6 linked regions of the Coturnix japonica genome follow. The protein of the gene in region 1 purifies or fractionates together with the protein of each later gene. This does not show direct contact. Links are inferred from orthologs where the notes say so. Each region holds a gene or a part of one and is shown in the gene's direction. Other genes may lie near its edges.

Evidence for each region.
Region 2: the proteins of DCAF1 (region 1) and COPS3 purify together in Homo sapiens (affinity purification with mass spectrometry; 5 studies listed by BioGRID, with this or other methods). This does not show direct contact. The link is inferred for Coturnix japonica from reciprocal best matches to the Homo sapiens genes DCAF1 and COPS3.
Region 3: the proteins of DCAF1 (region 1) and CUL4A purify together in Homo sapiens (affinity purification with western blotting; 15 studies listed by BioGRID and IntAct, with this or other methods). This does not show direct contact. The link is inferred for Coturnix japonica from reciprocal best matches to the Homo sapiens genes DCAF1 and CUL4A.
Region 4: the proteins of DCAF1 (region 1) and CUL4B purify together in Homo sapiens (affinity purification with mass spectrometry; 9 studies listed by BioGRID and IntAct, with this or other methods). This does not show direct contact. The link is inferred for Coturnix japonica from reciprocal best matches to the Homo sapiens genes DCAF1 and CUL4B.
Region 5: the proteins of DCAF1 (region 1) and COPS7A purify together in Homo sapiens (affinity purification with mass spectrometry; 4 studies listed by BioGRID and IntAct, with this or other methods). This does not show direct contact. The link is inferred for Coturnix japonica from reciprocal best matches to the Homo sapiens genes DCAF1 and COPS7A.
Region 6: the proteins of DCAF1 (region 1) and DYRK2 purify together in Homo sapiens (affinity purification with western blotting; 5 studies listed by BioGRID and IntAct, with this or other methods). This does not show direct contact. The link is inferred for Coturnix japonica from reciprocal best matches to the Homo sapiens genes DCAF1 and DYRK2.

What each region holds. Positions count from the first base shown.
Region 1 is NC_029527.1:1,236,650-1,240,149, reverse strand, and holds part of DCAF1 (DDB1- and CUL4-associated factor 1), read left to right. Parts: intron 1-229; coding exon 230-428; intron 429-808; coding exon 809-891; intron 892-2,053; coding exon 2,054-2,138; intron 2,139-2,727; coding exon 2,728-2,961; intron 2,962-3,447; coding exon 3,448-3,500. UniProt on the Homo sapiens protein: Acts both as a substrate recognition component of E3 ubiquitin-protein ligase complexes and as an atypical serine/threonine-protein kinase, playing key roles in various processes such as cell cycle, telomerase regulation and histone modification.
Region 2 is NC_029529.1:4,779,269-4,783,356, reverse strand, and holds the start of COPS3 (COP9 signalosome complex subunit 3), read left to right. Parts: upstream 1-1,288; 5' UTR 1,289-1,365; coding exon 1,366-1,420; intron 1,421-3,911; coding exon 3,912-4,041; intron 4,042-4,088. UniProt on the Homo sapiens protein: Component of the COP9 signalosome complex (CSN), a complex involved in various cellular and developmental processes.
Region 3 is NC_029516.1:123,900,109-123,904,124, reverse strand, and holds the start of CUL4A (cullin-4A), read left to right. Parts: upstream 1-1,216; 5' UTR 1,217-1,271; coding exon 1,272-1,446; intron 1,447-1,788; coding exon 1,789-1,904; intron 1,905-4,016. UniProt on the Homo sapiens protein: Core component of multiple cullin-RING-based E3 ubiquitin-protein ligase complexes which mediate the ubiquitination of target proteins. As a scaffold protein may contribute to catalysis through positioning of the substrate and the ubiquitin-conjugating enzyme.
Region 4 is NC_029519.1:15,291,950-15,296,120, forward strand, and holds the start of CUL4B (cullin-4B), read left to right. Parts: upstream 1-1,371; 5' UTR 1,372-1,437; coding exon 1,438-1,450; intron 1,451-2,170; coding exon 2,171-2,680; intron 2,681-4,171. Other genes in the region: MCTS1 (malignant T-cell-amplified sequence 1), read right to left, coding at 24-34.
Region 5 is NC_029516.1:69,466,828-69,470,977, forward strand, and holds the start of COPS7A (COP9 signalosome complex subunit 7a), read left to right. Parts: upstream 1-1,350; 5' UTR 1,351-1,447; coding exon 1,448-1,609; intron 1,610-1,713; coding exon 1,714-1,789; intron 1,790-2,192; coding exon 2,193-2,281; intron 2,282-2,356; coding exon 2,357-2,559; intron 2,560-3,024; coding exon 3,025-3,130; intron 3,131-3,427; coding exon 3,428-3,579; intron 3,580-3,854; coding exon 3,855-3,894; 3' UTR 3,895-3,912; exon of another isoform or gene 3,913-4,150.
Region 6 is NC_029516.1:31,679,920-31,683,973, forward strand, and holds the start of DYRK2 (dual specificity tyrosine-phosphorylation-regulated kinase 2), read left to right. Parts: upstream 1-1,254; 5' UTR 1,255-1,372; coding exon 1,373-1,427; intron 1,428-1,628; coding exon 1,629-1,765; intron 1,766-1,863; exon of another isoform or gene 1,864-2,269; intron 2,270-4,054. UniProt on the Homo sapiens protein: Serine/threonine-protein kinase involved in the regulation of the mitotic cell cycle, cell proliferation, apoptosis, organization of the cytoskeleton and neurite outgrowth. Functions in part via its role in ubiquitin-dependent proteasomal protein degradation.

The sequences.
Region 1 (3,500 bases):
CAGAAGTACTTGGTTACCCACAAAACACACCCAGGATTGTTGCAGACACTGTTGTCACATTCTTACTTGACCAATAGTCTTATAATTAACATCTAGTTGGTCTTAGAAGAGAACTGTAACTTCAGCCTACACCATTAGTGAGGACTGGTTTTAGTGCCATTACTTCATGCAGTAGTTCCGTTTTGCTTTTCTGCTCTCTTTCTGGTAACCCTTTTTCCACCTTCTTTAGGTTCCGTCCAATTTCTGTGTTCCGGGAAGCAAATGAGGATGAGAGTGGCTTTACCTGTTGTGCTTTTTCTGCGCGTGAACGATTCTTAATGCTGGGTACTTGCACAGGGCAGTTGAAACTGTACAATGTATTCAGTGGACAGGAAGAGGCGAGTTACAACTGCCATAACTCTGCAATCACACACCTTGAGCCATCGAGGGTGAGTAACTGGAGACCTGTGCTGAGTTCTGAAGTTCTTGTAGACTACAGCCTGCTGTATCTGGGGCACATCTATAAATCTCAAGTGCACCTGCTGGCTGGCCTGCAGTGCCTGTGATCAAGGTACTGGTAGTGGTTACCCACTGCCTCTCTGAGTTCTGTAATTTATTTTCTTCTCAATATATTGAGAAGATGCAGGGGCTGTGTCTTTGTAAGTAACAGATTTTAAAGTGACTTCAGAGTTGTGAAGACCACAAAACTTGCTGTAGTTCTTACAAGATTAATTTAAATCTAAATGAATGTGCACAAGTAAAACAATAACCTCTGTTTTCCCTGGTGTTCTTTTCCTTCCTTCCTCTCCACTCCACTCTGGAAATACAGGATGGATCCTTATTGCTGACATCTGCTACATGGAGCCAACCTCTGTCTGCATTGTGGGGAATGAAGTCTGTCTTTGATATGAAGTAAGTGTATTCTGATCTCTGTTGGGTTTACAGTTGGAAACATTCAGTACAGGCAGAATCCCTAAGAACAAGCTCCATGAGAGAATAGGACAGCACAGCTCACCCAGAGTCTGTTCTGAAAACATGAGAAGAGTAACAGACTTTATTTTTGGCATCTTCCTGTTCTTTTGAGTACAGATGTATTCTACTTACCTGGAGAGTCATCTAATGAAATTAGATTAGCAAGATGACCCTTGTTCCTGAAGGCAGAGAATTACATTTGTGTTTTTATTGTTATGTTGGTAAGATTGTCATCTTGACAGCCTTTCTGTAACCAGTCACAGAATTTTATAACGTGTTGGTTTTGTGTAGTGAAATTTTTGGACCTCAGTATCCCAGAGAAAGCCGTGTCAAATTGAGTTTAATATTTACAATTGCTCTCATTGAAAGTGGAGGAGAAGCTCTTTGTTCCTTATCATCTACCTCAGTTGCAAGCAACAGTTTGTTGTGTGAAGAGCATTCTCTAGATAAAAGGTTCATGATACTATCCCATGTATATGTGTCTGACTGTTCCTGTTGCAGTTTGTTGGTCACTCCTGCAAATAGGTTGTGGTGCAGGATCTGTTGCGGTGGTAGTGTTATTACATGTTTCCAGGGAGTCCTCATTGTGGCCTTCCAGTACTTGAAGGGAGCTTAAAAGCAGGAGGGGAACTGACTTCTTACACGATCTGATAGTGGTAGGATAAAGGGTAGTGGCTTCAAGCTAAAAGAGGGGGGATTTAGGTGAGAAGTTTTACTCGGAAGGTGGTGAGGTGCTGGAACAGGTTGCCTAGAGAGATTGTGGATGCCCCATCTCTGTATGCATATGATGAGGCCAGGTTGGATGGGATCCTGGGCGGCCTGATATACAGACTGGCAAGCCTGCCCAGTGTAGTGGATTGGATCTACATGATCTTTTAGGTCCCTTCCAACTTAAGCCATTCTGTGATTCATTCTGTGATTCTATTGACTTGCTGCTTGTGTTTTTTAATAGATCTGCTGGAAAGACTGTGTTTGCAATAAATACTTCCCTGCAAATGCCAGTGGAGCATTTTAGTATTGTAGTGTGCTATGGTCAATGGCAAAGGAAAGTCTTTTCACTAGTAGTTTGAGTCCTTGACATCTTTACTGACTCTCCCTATAGGCATTCCTTCCCTGATGACCAATATGTGGAGTTCAGCAAGCATTCTCAAGACAGAGTCATTGGCACAAAAGGAGACATTGCCCACGTAAGTACCAGTAAAAGTCATGGTTGTGAAGCTGTGAGAAGAGTTTAATTCTTCACAGAATGTTTATTAGCAGGTCTGGGTGCTGCAAGGCCCTGTGTGAGCTACAGGAAGAGCTTTGAAAATAGCAAATAACTTCATCTGTTTAAGGGTATAAACTTGACCATATTGTATGTAAATATTATGTGTTTAAGCAAACTATTAATTCCTGCCCATTTTTTAACTGAATAACCTGGAAGTCAGATCGGTTTGTGTGTTGTGTTTATCTGTTAAACAGTTTGTTTGCCCATATTAGAGAATTGTTTCTTTGCCGAGTTTGAAGGAGAGCTGGGCTCCGCAGAGTGTTACAGATTAAACTGATTTGAAATGGCCATAAAGCCTTTTTTCTTCATTAAAGCCCTTTACATCTAGCAGTTCTTAAAGATTTTTAAGACTGACAGAGGAATGGTTATCTAAAGAATGCTTTTGCTTGAAATGATAAAGCAAAATGGGGTTGGGGTGATTCTAGAAGTGATCTAAAACATGGGATGTATTAAGGTACAGGTATGTTACAAATTGTGACTAATGTTTCTCTTTCTTTTTAATCTAAAAGATCTATGATATTCAGACTGGCAACAAGCTATTGACTCTGTTTAACCCAGATCTTGCCAACAACTACAAGAAGAACTGTGCCACATTTAACCCCACTGATGACCTTGTCCTAAATGATGGTGTCCTCTGGGATGTCAGATCAGCACAAGCCATCCACAAGTTTGATAAATTCAACATGACCATCAGTGGTGTTTTCCATCCCAATGGGCTGGAGGTCATAGTCAACACAGAAATTGTATCCTTCAGCCATCATGATAATGTGTTGAAACCTGAATATTTTGTTTGAGAAACACAGCTGTAAATTATTTGATGTGTTATAAACTATGTTCAGAAGCAGCAGCTTTTGTCTGGGAATCCAGTAAATGGGGACTCTCAGAGAATTTAAATCTGGGCTATATTTCTGATTTGGGACTAATGGAAATACTTGAGAGAGATTATTTTTTTTCCCTAATGCACTTAGTGATACCTTTACTCTCTTGCATTCCCTTACCAAGATGTACCTTGAAACTACTGCAGTAACATCTGACAATTGGGAATGATGTCCTCAGTAAAAGTTTTTTGGTTTTGAAGGTAGTGTTGGGATCTGACACTGGTTCTTTTATGTTTATGAGAGAGTGTCAGTGAGGCTTCTTGAAAGCAATTAATCATCTCTTCAGCACTGTACTGAAAAGGAAGCAGACACTGTCCATCATCTGTTGCTCCTTAGCCTGTGTTTCTTCAGTGGGACCTCCGAACTTTCCATTTGTTGCACACAGTTCCCGCACTGGATCAGTG
Region 2 (4,088 bases), on another chromosome or scaffold:
AGACTTTGTCCAGAGTCTCACTGGATGTGACAGCTGTGTGTGATGTGAAGGTTTAATAGATACCCGGACACTGACTGTGCAAAGGAGGGACTCGAGGTGTCAGAGTGAAGGGCTGACATAGAAACAGCACCAAGGGCTGCGTATTCTGACACAGGACCACAGATCACTACGGCCAAAAAGCACTTGGGGGATTTAAAGCACCGAAGAGCAGGGAGGCGTCAAGAGTGTGACTAACAGGATTAGACAACTGCTGAGTTGGGACATGAAAAGCAATGATTCAACTCAGCAGATCCAAGATATTTTGTCCTCCAAATAGGGAATGTTTCCTAGCGGGGTGTGTTGTCCTTGTTGCACATAGAGGGCAGATGGGTTGTGGTGAAGGGCACCGAGTGAGCAGAGGAACAGAATTCCCCATCACAGCGGTGTATGTAACAGGAAATGTGAAACTGAAAATGTGAAGTTTCAAGCAGGTAAGAAATACATTTAACTCGTCGCAACGAATGGGATTTCGGTACTTTCCTAAGCCGTGAGATGATGCCTTTGTCTTCCAGGGCTAAGCACAAAGTCTTGCTCTTGCTCACACACCACAGGACGCCTGGCAGCCCCAGCAGCTCAGCACAGCACACTTGGGCTCCTCTAGGGATGAAAAAGACATTTGTGCTTATACAAACTGAATTAACATCACTGCTACACAGCACCAGGGGGATGAATTCTGTCCCCTGATATTAAGGAGCGTTATGTATATACTATCAAATAACAGACACTGAGCTGAGCCACCATGATGGCAGTGATAGGGCCGGCCGTGCTCTGAAGGGACCTTGAAGGGCCATTCCGACCACAGCCGCTCTGTGAGGCCCCACATCGGCTGTTCAACGAACGTCCCCTCACAGAACGGCCTCGAGACGCTGAGAGGCCGCGCTGATCCGGCACTTTGCGGCCCTGCAGCACGTCCAGCCCCACCACGGGCACACCGGGACGGCACCGAGCACGCACCGGACATGACGGCGGCACAGGGCCCGGCAATGACACGGGAGGGGCAGTGACGCCATCACCGCGTCACCCGTGGGCACTGCTGAGTCACGACTTCCGGCGCTAAGATGGCCGCCAAGATGGCCGCCTCCATCCGCAGTGCGCGCGGGGCGGTACTTCCGGCCGGGCCGCTGTTACCCCAACAACCGCAGCGGGAGGGGGGGAGAGGCGTCTGCTCTCGCGAGACAGCGGAAGTGACGCACGTCGCGCGCCTCCCGCAGAGCCCGCTGATTGGCTGGGGTTGGCAGCTCCCGTGGCGCAGCCTCTTTCCCGCCGCCCCTTCCCGCCCTTCCCGCCCCTCACGGAGCGCGCGCGGCCGCGCCGCCAGCCGCCAAGATGGCGTCGGCGCTGGAGCAGTTCGTTAACAGCGTCCGGCAGCTCTCGGCACAAGGTGACCGCGGGCTGCCAACCGCGGGCGGGGCTCGGCTGGGGGCGGCGGCTCTTGGGACCCAGTGCGGCTGTGGGGAGCGGGCTGCGGCCTGGATGTGTCGTGATTGATGTGGGGTGGGAGTTGGGCCCTGTGGTGCGGAGCTCGGTATGTCCGGGTGTGTCCGGAGCGCTGCTCGTGGCTCCGGTGAGGCCTAAATGCGCTGTCGGGGTGTTCCTGCAGGGCTGCAGGCCCACGGGGAGCGGCTGGGATGGAGCTTTGGGGCTGGGAAATGGGGATGGTTTCACGGGGGTGGTGTAGAGACTGAGCTGGGGGTATTAATGCATCGCAGAAGTACTGGCTGCTGGGAGTGAGAGCTCTGCCTTCCCGCTGTGGGGCTCTGAGTGTCTATCAGTGCTGCTGGGATCTCTGACATATCTCGGCTGAATAGGGTAAAGGCCTGGGGCTGCCTCGGAGCTGTCGTTACACAACACTCAGAAAGCGTTTGAATGTTTCTATGTAAGCCGTCTCAGTTTTGTTGCCAAACTTCTCATTACCCCACGTGTAATCACAGCGTTTTGTACTCGACGAACTTTCTGTGGGGCAGCTCCCTAAGAACTCCTTCACTGCAGTGGTGGCAGAGCACTGGGACAGGCTGCTCAGAGAGCTGGTGGAGTCTCTAGAGATATCAGACCCCACCTGGATGAATGGCTTCCTATGCAACCTGCTGTAGGGAACCTGCCTTAGGAGGAGCTGAACTGAGGGATCCCCAGGTCCCTTCCAACCCCTACAGTTCTGTGGATGTTTGTAAGCTATCAGAAATTCATGCTTTCCTCTGCAGCCCTCAGGCTTTATCTCTGGCAGTTACTTTTGGGTGGGGTGCAGACTGTCATGCTTTGGTTTAATTTGCTGAGGATAGCAGATGCTGGAGACATCTATGTACCTATGCAGGATGCAGGTAATTAGCAGACTACAGGATATGTATGATTTAGTTTAACTGGGGAGTTCTTATGTAATTCTGAAGGTGAACACTGTACTAGGGGAAGACTGGCTGCCTTCATGGAAGCTTTCCCATTGGGGCCTAGCCAGATAGGTGCTGTCTATGAGGAGTGAGTGCAGGCTGCAGTGGTGGAAGCACGTGTACTGTTGTCCCTGGCTGTCAGTGCTGAACTGCACAGGGGTTGATATAAATGGCCATGTAGCGAGGCCTTGTGTGGGTCTCCTACTTGCATGCTGTTAATGTTTAGCATGTTTGGGGTTTGTTGTTTTTTCTTTCCTTTGGTTCCTGTTTGTTTTCATGGGGGGTGGATGCTAGATGGTGGCCATAGAACAGGAGGATTTGTGTGCAGGGGAGAGCAGCAGAACTGACTTTTTGCAGTGCTTGAATACCATTGCCAAATACGATTTTATAGGCCCTGTTTCTTTCCATCCTTATCTTGGGACTTTTAAATCTGGATGGACAGAGATGTTATGAGGATGGGTGTCTGGGGTTCCTGGTCTGTGGTCTCACATATGGACCTTTTGATCCCTGTTTTACTTCAACATTAACATTGCATTTGTAAGGCTCCCCAGGTTCCATCTTTGTTTTGTTTTCAAAGGGAAAGGCCAAGAAATTTGAGAATGGTGTTAATCTCTAAGAATGGGAGCACCATTCTTTAGTTCATGAAGACTTCTATAAGGGTGAAAGGAGCTCTGCTTTTATCCCTCTAATCGACAAGGTTTTACACTGAAACAGTTCTCTGCTTCAGAAAGATGCTGTTTTAATTCTAGTAGTTTTGAAGGAGAAAAAGAAGAAAAAGGATTTTGACAGCAGTTTGCTATAATGAAGAGGGAAGTCCCTGCTTTATTTCTAAGGGCTTACCATACCTTCCTAATTCCAAATAGTCACATTTCATAATGTGTTTATGGTTCACGATGAATAGAACAATACTGTAGGAATAATTATATGAAGTTAAGGACAGACTTAAAAAAATCCTGTTATTGGAGGTGTTTAGTTGCAGGGTTTTTGTAATTAATAATGAACAGACCAGGAAAGTGAATAAGGCACTTGAGGAATGTTAAGGAGCAAGCCTTGCTATTGAGGTGTTTCTATGATTGTTTTGAAAAGAGGAGGGCACTGTTATTGGTAGATACGTTTTTCCTTTTAACAACTAGAAAGAGCAAGCGTAGGTAATTTCTATTCATATTGGAGAGAGTTTGGCATCGCAGTAAACTTGTCAGAGTCTTGGAGACTTGGCTCAACTGAGCTTAGTGTCGCTATGAGATCCTGAAGTCCTCTATAATGAGGCAGATTGATGCTGCTGCTCATGTTCTGCGGGTTTCCTTTGCTGTCAGAAGCTTCTCTGCCACCTTATTTTTTGAGAACTGGTGCCTAACATACTGCAGAGCAATCAGTTGTGTGGGTGATTCTATGTTATCCTCATTTGTTTTATTTTATTGGGATTCGGTGTAATGAAGCATGGGAATGCATGTGTGTTTTTTAACTGGACTCTGACAAGGATGCTTTTTATTTCAGGGCAAATGACCCAGCTTTGTGAGCTGATCAATAAGAGCGGAGAACTGCTAGCAAAAAACCTCTCCCATCTGGATACAGTGCTTGGAGCCCTGGATGTGCAGGAACACTCATTAGGAGTTCTTGCTGTCTTGTAAGCATGGCTTTCTGTTAATTAACCATTACAGCATCAAAACTTCA
Region 3 (4,016 bases), on another chromosome or scaffold:
CCGTAGTCACCGGAGCCGTTTGGGGGCGTGGTCTATTTCGAGGCAGCCAATGGAAAAGAGCGGTGGGCGGGGCCAGAGCGCGCGTTAGGTATAAAAGCACGTGCATCGGTGTGTGTGGTACGTCAGTGGGCGGAGCGGCGGGAGGAGGGAGCAGAGGGACTAGCGTGCTGGTCGTACCGGGGTCCGGTGTCAGCTTGTGCTTACCACAGAATGACCCGGGTTGGAAGGGACCTCAAGGATCATGTAGTTCCAACCCCCCTGCCTGGCAGGGCCACCAAACATACACATTTACTAGATCAGGTTGCCCAGGGCCCCGTCCAACCTGGTCTTGAACACCTCCAAGGACGGGGCATCCACAACCTCCCTGGGCAGCCTGTTCCAGGGCCTAACCACTCTCCTAGTGAAGAACTTCCCCCTAACATCCAACCTAAATCTTCCCTCTTTCAACTTAAAACCATTTCCCCGTGTCCCGCTATTGTCAGCCCTTTCGAAGAGTTTACTCCCCTCCTGGGAGTAAGTTCCCTTCAGGTATTGAAAGGCTGTAATGAGGTCACCCCGCAACCTTCTCTTCTCCAGGCTGAACAAACCCAACTCCCTCAGCCTGTCCTCATAGGGGAGGTGCTCCAGCCCCTGATCATTTTTGTGGCCCTCCTCTGGACCCTTTCCAAAATCTCCATGTCTTTTTTGTACTGAGGGCTCCACACCTGGACACAGTACTCCAGATGGGGCCTCACAAGAGCCGAGTAGAGAGGGACGATCACCTCCCTATCCCTGCTGACCACCCCTCTCTTGATGGAGCCCAGGATCCCATTTGCTTTCCGGGCTGCCAGAGCGCACTGCTGGCTCATGTTGAGTTTTTCATCCATCAGGACCCCCAGGTCTTTCTCTGCCGAGCAAGACCTTATGGGAGCGGACCGTTGTGCTCCGGGGGCCGCAGTGCCTGCCTTGTGAAGAAGGGACGGCAGCTCCTTGGCAATCTGTTCCAAAAAGCTGAATAAAGTTCCCCACGGGTTGTCTGTAAGAGGCTCGCACCGAGAGTCCGCCGTAGCCGTCCGTCCCGGGAGCCATCTTGCGAGCGGGGACGCTCGGTGTGAAGCTGGCGGGAAGGGCTGGGCTGCCGCCCCGAGGTGGGGGAGGAAGGGAGGGAGGGAAGAAGGGCGGGCGGAGGAGGAGGAGGAGGAGGAGGAGGAGGAGGAGAGCGGAGGCGGGGACCGGGCGGTCCAGCCCAGCGCAGCGCCTTGCCCCGGCCGGACACGGCGCCCGGGGCGGAGATGGCGGACGAAGCCCAGAAGAAGCCGCACTTGTCGGCCCTGGTGGGGCACACCAACGGGCTCACCAAGCCCGCCTCGCTGGCCGCAGCCGCCACGCGTGGGGGAGGCGGCGGGGGCGGTTCGGCCGGTGCTGCCGCCGCCTCCTCCAAGAAACTCGTCATCAAGAACTTCAGAGGTGGGTGCGGGGCCGAGCGGCGGCAGGTGCCGGGCCCGGCCTCTCCGCACCTTTGTTTACCGCGGGGGCCGCTCCGCCTTACAGGGACGCGGAGAACCTGCCGCCGCTCCCTAACCGCATCCCGGGGTCTCGCGTGGGGCCGCGGGGTTGGGGTGGCCCCGCATTAGGATGGAGGAGGAGGAGGCCACGGGCCTGGACGCGCTCGGGCGCTGCCGTCTCGCGTGGGGTCGCGACCTGCCCCGTGGCCGTGCCCCGTGAGCGCCCCTGGGCTGAGCGGAGGAAGATGGCTGCGGGGAGCCCGAGCCTCGGGCCGCCTTCAGCCGCCTCCGTGTTCCCCCGCAGAAAGGCCCAAGCTGCCCGATAACTACACGCAGGACACCTGGCACAAACTTCACGAGGCGGTGGCAGCCATTCAGAGCAGCACTTCTATTAAGTACAACCTCGAGGAGCTCTACCAGGTAAGACCCGTACGGTGATGTTTTCTTTCGGTGTAATGTGGAAAATGGAGACTCGCAGGGCTTCAGATCAAGCAGAGATGTATTTTTGACTCGTTAAAGGCCAGTTATTATCTCCAGAACGCTCTGTGTTTCCAGACAGTTCACAGTGTTGTGCCTCAGCTTCTCGCTGCTCCTAGGAGAGTTCTCAAGGTCTGGGCCCATGAAGAAGCAATTTGTGTTGGAAGGTATTGAGAGCTGCACTTGGGCATCCAGCCACCCCAACACTCTGCCTGCTCCAGATCCTGAAATTAGGGTCTTGCTCTGTCTGGGCTTTGCAGTGTCTGTGTTTTACAATGGCTTTTTTGGTTCATGCTTTGGTGTTTGAGAGTAGCCAGCGTTAAAAGTATTTGTTACGATGCTGAGACTTCAGTGTCAGTGCTCTTTGGAGAATGAAGGCAAGAATCGCACTGCTCGTGTTGTTATAAAACATCACTGATGCTGTAAGTTGTGCCACGCGGCTGAAGTTAACAAGCAGGGTGAGTCTCAGAGCTGAAGTGACTTCTCTGTGTCATTAGATGGAGTGTAATGTGTGGCATCAGAACGGCTCGTTGTGTGAAGGCATATTGACCTAATATAACATACTGCCTTCAAGCTGGACTGATATATATGTGTCTGGTAATACTTATAGGTTTGCAGAATCTGATTTACATAATACATTTGATGGTTTTAAATAGAGCGTTTGAGAAATCCTGCATTTTCATGCCCAGCTAGAAAAACACAGATGCTTTGAATGTTACCTAACTTGTTTTCAGAGGCTCAGAAAAGAGATTATAGTAATATGGGTATGAAATTGCCGGGGCACGGACTTGAGCTTTGGCAGTAGAGGAGGAGGGAGATCTCAGATAAGCTGTAAAGAGAGAACTGTGCTTTTTGCTTATTCTGTTTGTAAAAATGTGCGTGTTGTAAGGACAGCCCAGCAGTCAGGAAGTCATTGGTGCAAATCAGCAAGATTCCTGTACGGTGGGTGGTGGCTGTGAACATGCCCATACATACATACATACATATTCCTTCTGCCAAAGGAATAAGAGGAAGTTCAGCATCTTTTGGAAAGCTGACCTGTATGTACAGGTCGCTGTAACTCTCGGTTGGTGAGCACAGAGCCATCCATGGGGAAAATATCAGTGTGTGTACTGCTTCTCTATGGCAGTGCTCCTTTATGTGCATCTCTATCTGGCACCATGACAGGAGAAGAGAGGCTGCTGGGGCTCAGTGCAGCAGGCAGTGGTACCCCAGCCTGCCTTGGAACTTCTTGATTGATGTATTTAATTTGGCACGGTGGCAGAGTTAAAAACAAGGCCTGGTGGGAAGCCCAAAGCATAGTCTTTCCCAAGCGGCAGTGGCCGCATGGGTTAAAGCACAAAGGTGCTTGGCAGAGGCAGTGAGCAATAGGAGGGTGGCAGCCAATTTTTGCTACTAAAATAGAAGTGATGTCTGGGATTGGTGGTAGATTGCCTGGATCTGGGTGGAAGTGGCTGATATTTGATGGGCTACAGAAAGTGGGGCAGTGCAAAGAACTGCCGAGTGAGGAGCGAGTGATAAAAATAATGGGAAAAGAGAATTCCCTTTGCAACAAGATCCTAAATAGCTTGAAATAGGGCAGCAGCTGCCCTTCTTGAGGGCACGGAATAGAACATTGTTGCAGTAAAGGGGGAAGAAAGTAAATGCTTTGAATCTGGACCAGACTTTTGTGTGGGTGGGTAGGAAAGGCTGTGTCTTAGAAAGCATAACCAAATATCTGACCAACAGTTGTGTGATCACTGTTTGTTTCAGAGGTCACCTCACGTAACCTGTTCTAAGACTGAAGTTAAAAACCAGCATAAACAACAAAGTAATCATGTAATGCCTGCTTGTTTCCATCTTGTGTGTTTTGGAAGATAAGCTCTTCAGGATATTAGAACTGATAGAGGAAACAGTACAAGCAGCAATAACTAGCTTACTAAACAGAGGACTCGGCTCAAAACAAGCCATTAAAGTGGTTATTTGAAACTTATACATGGCTTGTGTAGGTGAAGAGCCTACAGTGCTGTCTTTCTCATGTCATAATAGAAGAGATAATTATTATTACAGCTTTTT
Region 4 (4,171 bases), on another chromosome or scaffold:
TCAGCCCAACCAACCCCACTCACTTTTTGAACATCCTGGGACGGTGGGAGCCGGGACAGCGAGATCCTGTGCCGGGCGTGGACCGGCGGGCGCGGGGCGGGCTGCCGGGACTCCGCGCTCCCTCACACGAGGTCCCGGCCCTCCCCCTCCAGCGCCAGCCGGAAACGCCGCGCGCTTTACGGCATGTCGCGCCGCTGTATGACAACGGAACTGCTGAGGCTGGGAGGAGTGGTCATTGAGAGCAGATCGGCTGAGAACGACCTGGGGGTCCTGATAGATGAGAAACTTAACGTGAGCCAGCAGTGCGCACTGGCAGCACGGAAAGCAAATGGGATCCTGGGCTCCATCAGGAGAGGGGTGGTCAGCAGGGATAGGGAGGTGATCGTCGCTCTCTACTCGGCTCTTGTGAGGCCCCATCTGGAGTACTGTGTCCAGGTGTGTAGCCCTCAGTACAAGAAATACATGGAGATTTTGGAAAGGGTCCAGAGGAGGGCCACGAAGATGATCAGGGGGCTGGAGCACCTCCCCTATGAGGACAGGCTGAGGGAGTTGGGTTTGTTCAGCCTGGAGAAGAGAAGGTTGCGAGGTGACCTCATTGCAGCCTTTCAGTACCTGAAGGGAACTTACTCCCAGGAGGGGAGTAAACTCTTCGAAAGGGCTGATAATAGCAGGACTAGGGGAAATGGTTTTAAGTTAAAAGAGGGAAGATTTAGGTTGGATGTTAGGGGGAAATTCTTCACTAGGAGAGTGGTTCGGCCCTGGAACAGGCTGCCCAGGGAGGTTGTGGATGCCCCGTCCTTGGAGGTGTTCAAGACCAGGTTGGACGGGGCCCTGGGCAACCTGATCTAGTAAAGGTGTATGTTTGGTGGCCCTGCCAGGCAGGGGGGTTGGAACTACATGATCCTTGAGGTCCCTTCCAACCCGGGACATTCTGTGATTCTGTGAATGGAACGCGCTGTGTCTCTGTGCATGTGCATGGATGGCAAAGCAGGATGCGGCTGTCTCGCAGTACAGCCGAGGAAGGGCCGTGCTCATCCATAGGGCGGTGTGATGCTGTGATGGAACGTGCTGACACCGCGCTCTGCTCCCAAAGGCTTCAGAGTCACCGGCATGAAAGATCAGGCCACCATCCGAGCACCTTTTCTATATCAAATCAACCGCGATACATAGCATCCACACAACGTTCAGCCAAGCTTCCACGCGTGGCACAGTCTATTTAAGCGCTGTGATACAGCCGGTTCAGGACTCAAACACCGAACAAACCCCTCACGAACCACGCACGGCACTGCGCCCGCACCGCGCATGCGCACAACGCCGGCCTCAGCCACAACGGCGCCGCCATAGGCCACGCCCCCTATAGGCCACGCCCCTCATAGGCCCCGCCCTGCGCCGGCGCGCGAGGGTTCCGGCGGGCGGCCGTTATAGCGGCCGGCAACCATGATCACTTCCGGTAGGTCAGAGGGCAGGCAGCCGGCGGCCGTGTTGAGGCGTTGGCTGCGGGGCAGCGCGAGGGAGCGGCGGGACGAGCGGGCGGGAGGGAGGAAGGGCGGAACCCGGCGGGCAGGGCCGCGCCGCTGGGACCGCGGGGCCGAAGCGGGGCCCGTCGGGCGGCCGCGCCCCGGCATGCACAGCGAGCGGATGCGCCGCCATCTTTAGGCTCCCTTCCCCGCCTGGAGTGACAATAACAAGCACCGGGCCCGGCCGCCCCGGCAGCGCCCCGGCAGCGGAGAGGGGCGGGCGGGAGCCCTGCGGAGGAGCGGGCGGCGGGGGCCGCGCTGAGGGCGCTGAGGCCGGGGCGCTGTTGGCCCCGCTCGGCCGAGCAGAGGTGGCGGGGCGGCGGGGAACCGCTGGGGCCGGAGAACGGCGCTGAGAAGAGCCCGAGGGTGGACGGAGGTGGGGGAGGAAGCGCTGCTTTGAGGGCGGGAGACGGAGGAGAGCCGCGAAGAGAAACGGAGTCACAAAGAGAAGGAGATCCGGTGTTTCCTCCGAGGGATAAGAAGGAGAAGGAGGGGGAATACCGAGGGACTGTGTCGATAAGGAGAGAGGAGTTAAAAGACTCCGCTGAGAGACGCCACCGGAGGCTGACGGAAGAGCTCTGTCCTCTTTGTCGCGCTGCCAGGATTTGATGCCCGTCAGCCTGCTCATTTCTGTGTGTTCATGTTTCCCACAGGTTTCTCTTCCCCCAACCCCTCCACTGCAGCTCAGGAGGTCAGGCCCGCCACTGATGGTAGTAGCGGCAGCAGCTCCTCCTGCAAGAAGAGAAAGTTAAATAATAGCAACTCTGAAAGAGAGGAATTCGATTCCATTTCCTCCTGCTCGTCATCTCCTTCCAAAAACAACTCCTCCTCGTCTTCTTTAGTCATCACCGCCTCTTCGTGCTCCTCCTCGGGGGTCGCCTCCTCCAACCATCACCTCCAGAAGAAGCTGCGCTTTGAGGACTCCTTGGATTTTATCGGACTCGATGTGAAGATGGCTGAAGAGTCTTCTTCCTCCTCCTCTCCCGCTGCCTCTTCTCAACAGCAGCACCAACAGCAGCTCAAAAATAAAAGCCTTTTAATTTCTTCAGTGGCCGTAGGGCACCATGCCAACGGCCTGACCAAAGCTGCCTCCTCTACTGTGTCCAGTTTCGCCAACAGTAAACCTGGCTCCGCTAAGAAATTAGTGATCAAGAACTTTAAAGGTAACAGACCATAATTCCTCACAATCTCTGCGGAGCTGCCGCTCAACTCTGTGTTTTGTTTTCAACATGAAAACCTGGTTGGCTTTCAAATAGCTCCAGGTTTTACAGGAAATGCTTTTTTGTGGTAAACATTCTTAGACTTATGTAAAGGGGGGTTATGTTGATGATGCGTCCTTGCCCGATCACGTGCACATCTGAGCCAGACTTCCCTGCTTGGGCTTATTGTTCTGACTGCATTCACTCTGTTGAGGAGAAGGCCCTTTCTAGTATCTTGAAGGAAACATTTTACTGCCTAAGTGTGTAAATCACCTTTGATCAAACTTCTGAGGTTTGAAAGCACTTTTCCAGTAACCCAGACTCAGGGTATACAGTATATTTTAGCCTTGTTTATGGTAAGTCTTTGCAAAGTATCCTTAAAAAAAAAAAAGACTTGAATCTCCATGTCTTGCCCACGTGTATTTTGTCTGTTTGTAGGTTAATCCGCTTGTGCTTAGTTTTAAATGTTGAAACTAAGGTGATTATCCAGCTCTTAAGGCGGATTTCCTTTCTGCTTCTCCTACTTGACTTCAGAGTAGGTAGTTCAGACTTTTGCAGGTTATTTTTCTTGCAGTATCATCACTGCTGTGCTTATTGCTTAATTTTTTAGCATCTTTTCTACTTTAATATGCTCTTCCTTTTTTTTTTTTCTTTTCAAATTTACATTGTTTTGTAGTTTCTCAACCAACATGGTGGAGCTTTTCCAATGTTGTTACTTGAGATCAACTGAAGCAGGGAAATGAAGCTTTCTGATGTGAATTCAGCATGATATTCTAATGAACAAAATTGAACTAGGTGAAGGCAGCGATCCTAGCTAAAATTCTGTAGTTTTTATCCTAAAAAACGTCTGAGAATTGTGAGATTTTCTTGTTAGTCCATTCTTCCCTTTCAAAGTAATTCAAGAACTTACTTTCCTGAGTGGTTTTGTTTTTCTTCTTATGTTTGGGTGGGAGAAGAGAGGGCTTAAAGGTCTGACAGAGATTAAAACGTATTTCTAAAGAGGCGGTTGATACAAATGTGCTGTAGAGATAGCACAGAAGGTGAGGATTAAGGATTACCTGAGCCACTGTAATGTTCCAGTGTGACTTTTTGCTTTAAGGACTACTTAATTCTCAAGAATGTTCCCAGTCTGTTTCCCGTGCTGCCATGTCACCATCTGTTAATTTGGTTGCCTTAAAACCTTGTACTTAGGGTGCATGATGGCAAGAAATAAATGCTGCCACTGCATGTACTTTGTTATTTTTAAGAGAAGGCAACTTTTCACATTGAAAATATTAACTACATGCCAGGGATGACATGGAGCTGCAATCATCATTGCTTATAAATTGCTCTTGGAATCACTTCCTTAAAAAGAATGTCTTGAGAATCTGCATCTCTGGTTTTTATTTATGCTCATATGCCAAGATGACTAATAATCGTAGTGTGCTTTTGTCTGCGATAGCAATACACGTCCTT
Region 5 (4,150 bases), on another chromosome or scaffold:
CAGACACGAGCCACCATGTGATGTGAAAGGTCCTTTCTCTGCTGGAGAATCATGACTGGAGGCTGTCTGTCCTGATCTGCAAATTCCCGAGGGCTGTGAGAGTACATGGGAATAAGAGTTACTGCGCAGGCACCGTCCTCTTAAACTCCTTTGTGAGCAATAGGTGTGAGGCTGCCCTAGATGTAACTAGGCACAGGTCTTACCACCCTGTGTGTTAACCTAGTACAAGTTACGTGGTTAAAAACTTTCCCCATCACGTTGTCTGGCAAAGAGATTTGCCCCATCCTCCCTCGTCCTTACAAGCTTTTTGCCCAGGACTCTGTGGCATAGAGTTGTGAAAAATCATCACAGATCTGGACTATGTTTGGGGAAGGGCTAGAGATCAAAATATTGGCAGCGTTTTGACAAGCCAGTTTGATTTTGCATCTAAGGATGAACAAAGACTTTGCTAAGTTATGGGCAAGACACCGTGCGCTCACACGAGTGGTTGCATATTCAGAGATGATGATGGCCTTCTCATTAAGGGAGCTCGGGTAGTGATTCATTCCTTGCCCTTATTTTAGCTCCGTGCAGGACAAAAGAGAAGAAACACTGTGGTGACCCAGCAAAGAGCACACAAGACCCGGGGTCGGTGCAGAGGGAGGCTGCTGCAGCTGGGATGCTCGGGCTGCTTCGCTTTATCGAACTAATAATGAAAGGCAGCAAGCGTGTCAGAGAGTGTGAGAGAAACAGATCGATAGGGAGATAAAACTGAGATGGAAGGAGCTGGTGAGGGGGTGGGGGAGAGAGCAAGACATGCTACAGAGCAGCAGGGCTACACTTAGACCTGGTCAGAACACAACCTGCCCCGCTGTAGGTGGGTGCGTCAGGTGTCAGGGCGTGGTGAAGCACACGGACAGGGAGGTGAAGGCAGGAAGGTGGTGGTTGTACCTTGCACTGATGCTGCCCTGCTTCACCTTGTCAGCCCTTCTCCTCCTTCATTCCGCCGTAAGGAGCACCGCAGGCCTCGCTATCTATCACAGCCCTTCCCCACAGCCCCAGCCACAGCGATACTGTGAGCGGCGAGTGACCTCCAGCCGAGCGGCGGGGCCGCCACCATTATAACTCAGCCTTCCACCTCGGCCCTCCCAGCGCCGCTCCCCTCACGCCGGCAGCCTCAGCGTACAGACCGAGCTCCAGCCCGGCCCCGAGCTCCGAGGAGCCCAGCGGGGCCGGGACGGGACGGCAACCCCGGGCCAGGACCGTGAGCTGCCCGCTGCACCGCGCAGTCCTCCTCCGACAGGGGGCGCCCCAAACTCTGCCCGCCCGGCGTCACACCCGGAAGCGGGCGGGCTGCGACGGCGCCGCCATAGAGGAGAGGGCTCGGGGCGGGCTGGAGGTGGCGCCCGGTGGCGGGGCCGGGGCCTGCGGGACGCCAGCGCGGCGGGGCCGAGTGCCCGGCAGCGGGATGGCGGCCGAGGGGAAGGTGACGGGGCAGAGCCAGGAGCAGTTCCTGCTGCTGGCCAAGGCCGCCCGCGGCGCCGCGCTCGCCAGCCTCATCCATCAGGTGCTGGAGGCCCCGGGTATCTACGTCTTCGGGGAGCTGCTGGATATGCCGGCCGTACGCGAGGTGAGCCCTGCCCTGTGCCCTGCCCTGTGCCGTGTGCCCTGCCCTGCCCTGCCCGCGGCTGGGCCTGGGCCGCGGTGTGGCCTGACTCGCCTTCTGTCCCGCAGCTGGCCGACTCCGAGTTCTCTCCTGTCTTCCACCTGCTCACCATCTTCGCCTACGGCACCTACGCCGACTACCTGGGTGAGGTCGGGCTTGGGGAATCGTGCCCTAAGCCGCAGAGCTGGGAGCGAGGTTGGGTTTGGGCGTGAGGCCGAGGAGGCCATGGAGGGGTCCAAAAACATCTGGGCAATGGTGTTTGCGAGGGGTGGGGGGAGGACTGGGGGATTCATTGGGATGTAGAGGTCTCCATAAATAAGGTGTGGGACAGCTTGGGGAGGTGGCTTCAAACGGAGGAGAGGCTGCTCAGTGAAGGTCCTTTGAGCTGTGGATTAATGGTGACGGCCTGCTAAGACAAAGCATCACTTTGGGAGCCGTTGTGATGCAGTTCTGAGAAATGGGACTGGGGCAAATGCTTCCGTTGCGGGACTGGGAAATAGAACATGAGGTATAAATTCTAATGCCCCGTCCTTCCCTTTGGCAACAGCTGAAGCAGCAAACCTCCCTCCCCTGACAGAGGCTCAGAAGAACAAACTGAGGCACCTGTCGGTCGTCACTCTGGCTGCAAAGATCAAGGTAATGCCCCTATTTTACCTCTAGTTTTCCTTCTTCTGAGTTTACCTTGTGTTAGTTACCATCATGTCTCTGCAGTGCATCCCCTATTCGGTGCTGCTGGAGCAGTTACAGCTGAAGAACGTCCGGCAGCTAGAGGACCTCGTGATCGAGGCGGTGTATGCAGATGTGCTGCGAGGGAGCTTGGATCAGCGGAACCAACGCCTGGAGGTGGATTACAGCATTGGGAGGGACATCCGGAGGGAGGAGCTAAGCACCATCACCCGCACATTGCAGGAGTGGTGAGGAGGAAGCCGCCCATACTAACACCTTCAAAGGTTGCAGGAGTGGTCAGGGGCTTCACCAGATCATCCTTTGTGTGTTGCTGGGGGGCAGCGTAGCAAAGTGACCTCTGTCTCCTTTCCCAAATGGCAGTGGAAAATAGTTTCCACTATCCAACGTTCTTCCACATTGGAGGGGTGAGGAAAGGAGCAGCAGTTTTTGCATCCAGCTCCAGCTGCTGGCAAGAGTCTTTCTGAGTATACATCTGTAGCTCTTAACCTAGTGCCGCTTTGTTATGTGTCTCCCTCCTAGGTAATAATGTCACTACATTATTGCTTTGGACTGCCACCCCTGTGCCTACCCTGCCTAGAGTAGCTGTTACCTTCCAGGTTTTATTGGTCTTTACAGTTCAACCAGTCATCTTCATGTTTCTTTCCCTGCAGTACCAATTACCTGTCCTGTTCAGCTTAACATTTTCTCTACAGGTGCCAGGGCTGCGAGGTTGTCTTGTCTGGCATTGAAGAACAGGTTAGCCGAGCCAACCAACACAAAGAACAACAGCTGGCACTTAAGCAGCAGATAGAGAGTGAGGTGAGTGGGCTGAAGAGGGAGAGGAGGAGGCATTACCCCTTGCTTAAAGAAAGAGTGGAACCAATACCCTGTTGTTACTATAGCCCTTGTTCGAGGGCTATAGTATAGTATATATACTATATAGGGCTAAGGCATTACCCTAGGCTGAAACCCTCCGGGGTAGTTATGCTTGAGGAAGAATTGGGAGTCACTTAAGCACTTCTCAGCAGTGCAAAGCTCTGGACAAAATAAAAGGGAGGAGGAAAAAAAGATAATAACTTGAGAAATTCCTTGGTTCTTGTTTTACTGCTGTTGCAGGTGGCGAATCTGAAGAAGACAATTAAAGTGACAACAGCAGCTGCTGCAGCAGCCACCTCTCAAGACCCAGAACAGCACCTCACAGAGCTCAGGGAACCTGCCCCTGGCACCAACCAGCGCCAGACCAGCAAGAAGACTTCCAAAGCCAAAGGGTGAGGAATGGTGGCAAACAAACGTAGCCACTGCCTAATGTGTGTTGAGGGGAGTTCTGTTTTGTAGCACTGAGGTCACTGCAGGGGTCTACACCCCAGGCCTGGAATGGTCCAAGCTGACCTCCACCTCTGGCTAATTCAGGGGGTGCAGCTCTTGATCTGAAGCACAGTTCATAAGCCTTCCCTGAATGCCAGCTGTTCTCTGTGTACGCTTAGAAAAGGAAGTCAGAGATGAAGTTTAGTGTCCAGTCTAAAACTTCTTCCTCTCTCCGCAGGCTCCGGGGCAGTGCGAAGATTTGGTCTAAATCAAACTAGTTGGATCTCCCTTCACAGGTGGGAGGGTGAGAGGAAGAGACTTGGGACTCTTGCTACCCCTCCATCTACTAAGTGTGATGCTTCTGAGCTCATCTCTGAGATCTGTCTTGCCAACTAATTCTCCTGCATGTACTCTTTTCTGTCTTCTTCACTTCCTTTCTGGGCAGTGCTTCCCACCTTTTAATCATGACATTTCACACTCTAAGCTTCCAGTTGAATGCATTGCTGTTTTCCCCTACCCCTCAAGGTTCCATCA
Region 6 (4,054 bases), on another chromosome or scaffold:
TGGATGTGTTTGTGGAAACAATGGGAAAACACCAAGAGACACCAGAAAACAGCATTTATAGCCCTGGTAGTGAAGGGATGGGAAATGTGCGGTGTCTGGGTACATCTGGGGGTTATAGAGGGGCACAAAGCTGCAGGGAAGGGAAAAGGTTGGGTGGGTGCAGGCTGGAAAAGGTAGGATTGTTTTCTCTCTGCAACAGGAGGGACTGAGGAAAGTGTTTATTTCTTTGTACCAGCACAGGAAATGTCTTTGTTTACACATTTATCTGTGGCACTGGAAAAGGCCAAGTCTTCCTCTCCAGCTGCAGGGATGGAGTTCTTTTTTTCTCAGGAAAGGGAAGATTTATTTGTCTGCCTTTCTCTGCGGCAGGGAATGAAGGGAGGTCTGCCTGTGGCAGGGGATGAAGGGAGCTCTGCTTGCAACCCCACTGGCTGCTTCAGAAGGGAAAATACACGCGATCCGTACACATTTCCAAGCGGGTTGAGCGTAGGCAGGAGAGTTCATTTCGACGCCGTCCCGGGCTGAGCAAATGTTCAGCTATCTATTTTTGGCTCTCGTGACGTTCAAGCTGACAAACCAGGAATTCAAAGCATTGTACTCGGCGAGGCACACGGCAGAGCAGGGCCCATAACTGCCCCCACCGCGCTCCCTCCCTCTGCATGGAGGCACGGGCCGCTCCGGCCCGACTCTCGAAGCTCTCCCAAGGCACCGCCATGTTGAAGTTTCCATCCCCTCGCACCGACCCTCCCACAGCCAGCGGTGCCACCGTCGTCCTCCCGCGGTGGCGGTGACCCCCTGAGGGCAGGCCCCAACATGGCTGTGACCTGGGGGTGACCAACGGCTCATCCCTTCCCCCTTCACCCCCGCTGGAGGCCGTTGGGCGGTTGCCGGGCGGCAGCGGGGAGCGGAGCGAGGCGAAGTGCGGGCGGGCGCGGGGAGCGCACGGGGACGCGGGGAGGAGCGGAGCGAGGGGAGGCGGCCGGCGGGGCGGGCACTGCCCTTCGGTGCGCTGTTTGTTCTCGTTCCGCCGCCCGAGGAGGAGGGCCCTGTCCGGCCGCCTTCTGCTGCCCCCCTCCCTCCTCCGAGCGAGGGGACCGGGGCGACCGGGGCGGGGGCGGGGGAGGTGATGAGCTTGGGCCGGGGGCTGCGGCGGCGGCGCGGCTGCTGCTGCTGCGGCTGCGGCGGGAGGAGACGGCGGGCCGAAGGAGGCTGTGTCCGGCCGGCCCGGGGCCGGGGGGATGCGGCGGAGGACGCGTCGGGCGCTGGGTGTAGCTGATCGGCGAGGAGAGGCAGCCGCCGCCCAGAGAGGCCGAGGAGAAGCGGAGGAGAGCCGCCCTGACATGCATTTTCCTCTCCCTCCTCTCCAGCGGCCATGTTAACCAAGAAACCCTCAGCGAGCGCCGCCGCCGGCGCTGCCTACCCGGCCGGTAAGGAGCGGGCCGGGCGCCGCGGGGTCGGAACAATGCTGCGGACCAGGGGGGAGAACCGGGGGGAAGGGGGGGGTTCCGGCCGTCGGTGCGAGCGCGGGGCCGCGGCGGCCATCGGCTTCCGATGGCTTCTGCCCGAAGCGGGACGGGGCGGCTCGGGGCCGCCGCTGCCCTCCGCGCTCACCCCTCTGCTCTCCGCAGGCAGGGCAGGGGACAGCGGCCGTCCGCTGCAGTCTTCCCCGGGTGCAGGAGCCGGGGTCTCCCGGGCAGGAGCTGGGACCGGCCCACCGTCGCCCCTCGCATTGCCGCCGCTCAGGGCCAGCAACGCCTCCCACACGGTGAGCACGGGCATGGGAGGGGGTCGGGAGGGTGGTGGTGGTGGTGATGGTGGTGGTGGTGGTGATGGTGGTGGGGGGGTCCACGGAGCGCCGCCGCCTGTCCCGCCCCGCGGGGCGCTCGGGGCCGGTTCTGCAAACTCGGAGCGGAGGAGAGTGTGGGTTCCAGGGCTGGCAGGCTGGAACCGAGCTGCAGAGCGGCTCCCCCTTCCTGCAGCCCCCCTTCGCTCCGCTTTACGTGTCGTTGTCGGTAACAAATTAGATCTTGTGCACAGACAGCGAGGAGCTGTTCTGGTAAACGGGTAAACGCCTTTTTGGGGATGACATTTTGGCAGTGAGGTTAGTCGCTGTGATTAAAGGGTCGCGTGAGCCATGGCGAGGAATGAAGGCTGCTCTCCTATGTCTCTGATTAGCTCAGGCCGATAGCCGTCTTCCCTTGGAAACAGCTGTCGTTGTACTCCAGGGCGACGATTGGATGGATCTGACTTTATTGCTGCGGTGGTTTACCTAAAGAAATAAGCACCGATGCTATGAAAAGGATGTTATTTTCCGGTTCTGTGATATCTCACATTATCTCCCTCTCCCAGTTAATCTACCAGGAATGGAACTTCCCAAGTATGCCACTATATATGGATGAGAGAGGGTATCTCTGTCCTGAAGGCATGACGGGGTAGAGGGAGATGGGGCTGTGTGCCGTCGTGTTAACGCAAAATATCTGACATATTTCTTGCATACATTTCCTTTTAAATGATGAAAAAACTCGTACTGACCCTGAAAGGCATTGATGGCATACTTGGCTTAGAATTAATGAGTTCTCCACGGATGCTCACGTACTATCTTCATAAACATATGGCAGAGCTTTAAACAGTAATGTGATTATGGGCTAGTGGAAGGTGAAACTATGCATTTAGACATTAGCGTTTCGGTGACTTTCTGTATAGCTTCAGGGGTAAAAGCGTCTTATTCAAATCCAGTTATAGAAAGAATTGGCTTAAATGTAATAAATAAATAAATAAGTGCAAGTTTATGTAGGGTGTTTTCAAGAGGAATGATGAATATTCTGCAAATGTGAGGTGGAGCTGCATACTTGAGGTCAACATCGCTGTGTCTCTATGTAGCCAGGATGTATATCTGAATCGTTGGGTACTGCCAAAGGTAGGTTTTTGCACGTTTGCATTCCAGTTAAGTGCTGGTTGATTTGAGAAGTGAGAAAGTGGTCTACGTATTTCTTTTAAGCCAGAAAATAATCATTGTACCGATGGCCTGGGCATGGGTTGTGAAAATACACATCCAGAGATGGGCCCCACTAATAGCAGGGGCTGATGTGTAACAGAGCCCAGACTTAATTTAGAATCTGTGAAAGCCCAGTGGTCCAGTCGTCTGTCTGGGATTGCTGACTAATTTTGGTAGCATGGAACTGTGGTATTTTTATAGATACGCTTGTGTGTGTACGATATATCTATCTACATACACTATATATATATGTGTATAAAGATGAAGTCTTTATGAAAGCTTGCAAGGAGTATTTGAGTATTGCATTTCTGCTTCCAGTATATTTGTAGATGTATCGTCATGCATGTACACATGTTATCTATAGCATATATATGCCGATAGATAGATACGTACATATAGACAGAAAGCCTATGGAAGCATTGAAGGATGATCAAGCATTATACTGCTGTGTTTCAAGTCTCTCTGGGTTCTGACTGCTGCAGACTCTGCTGTGCCTTTGTGACACAGATACTACTCCTCGGTCTTTATTTTACCTTGAGTGCTATTACAGAAATACCTCCGACAGGCTCTGAATTTTTTAGGGCATTATTTTGTGGTTGCCTAACAGAACTTTTTGTGGTAAGGATCAGATGTGACATCAGGATGCTGGATTTTAACCTAAAACAATGGTTATGTGTGGTATGGGAGCGTTCTATAAACTTCAGGCCTGCTGACCTCAGCTGACACTGACTGAAACTATTGGTTTCATCCACTACTTCCTCAAATGAAATGTATTTAAAAATAAACGTTTCAGTTTTCTTAAACCATTTTCTTCCTCTGTATTCATTTGCTTAATCAACCCTGTTGTGCCTGTGTGACTTCTCCAGCAGCTAAAAAATGAAATGAATATTTCTCTTTGGTGTTGCAGACTTTCAGAAGGCGTAGCTTACATAGGCAGCGTATACACATGTGCATTGTGTATACACTGATTGTGAAGGGACACCATGGTGGAAATATTAAGCCAAAAAGTTCTTCTTCTAGTCCAGCTGGAGAAATGCACTACTTGTCATATTTCTTGCA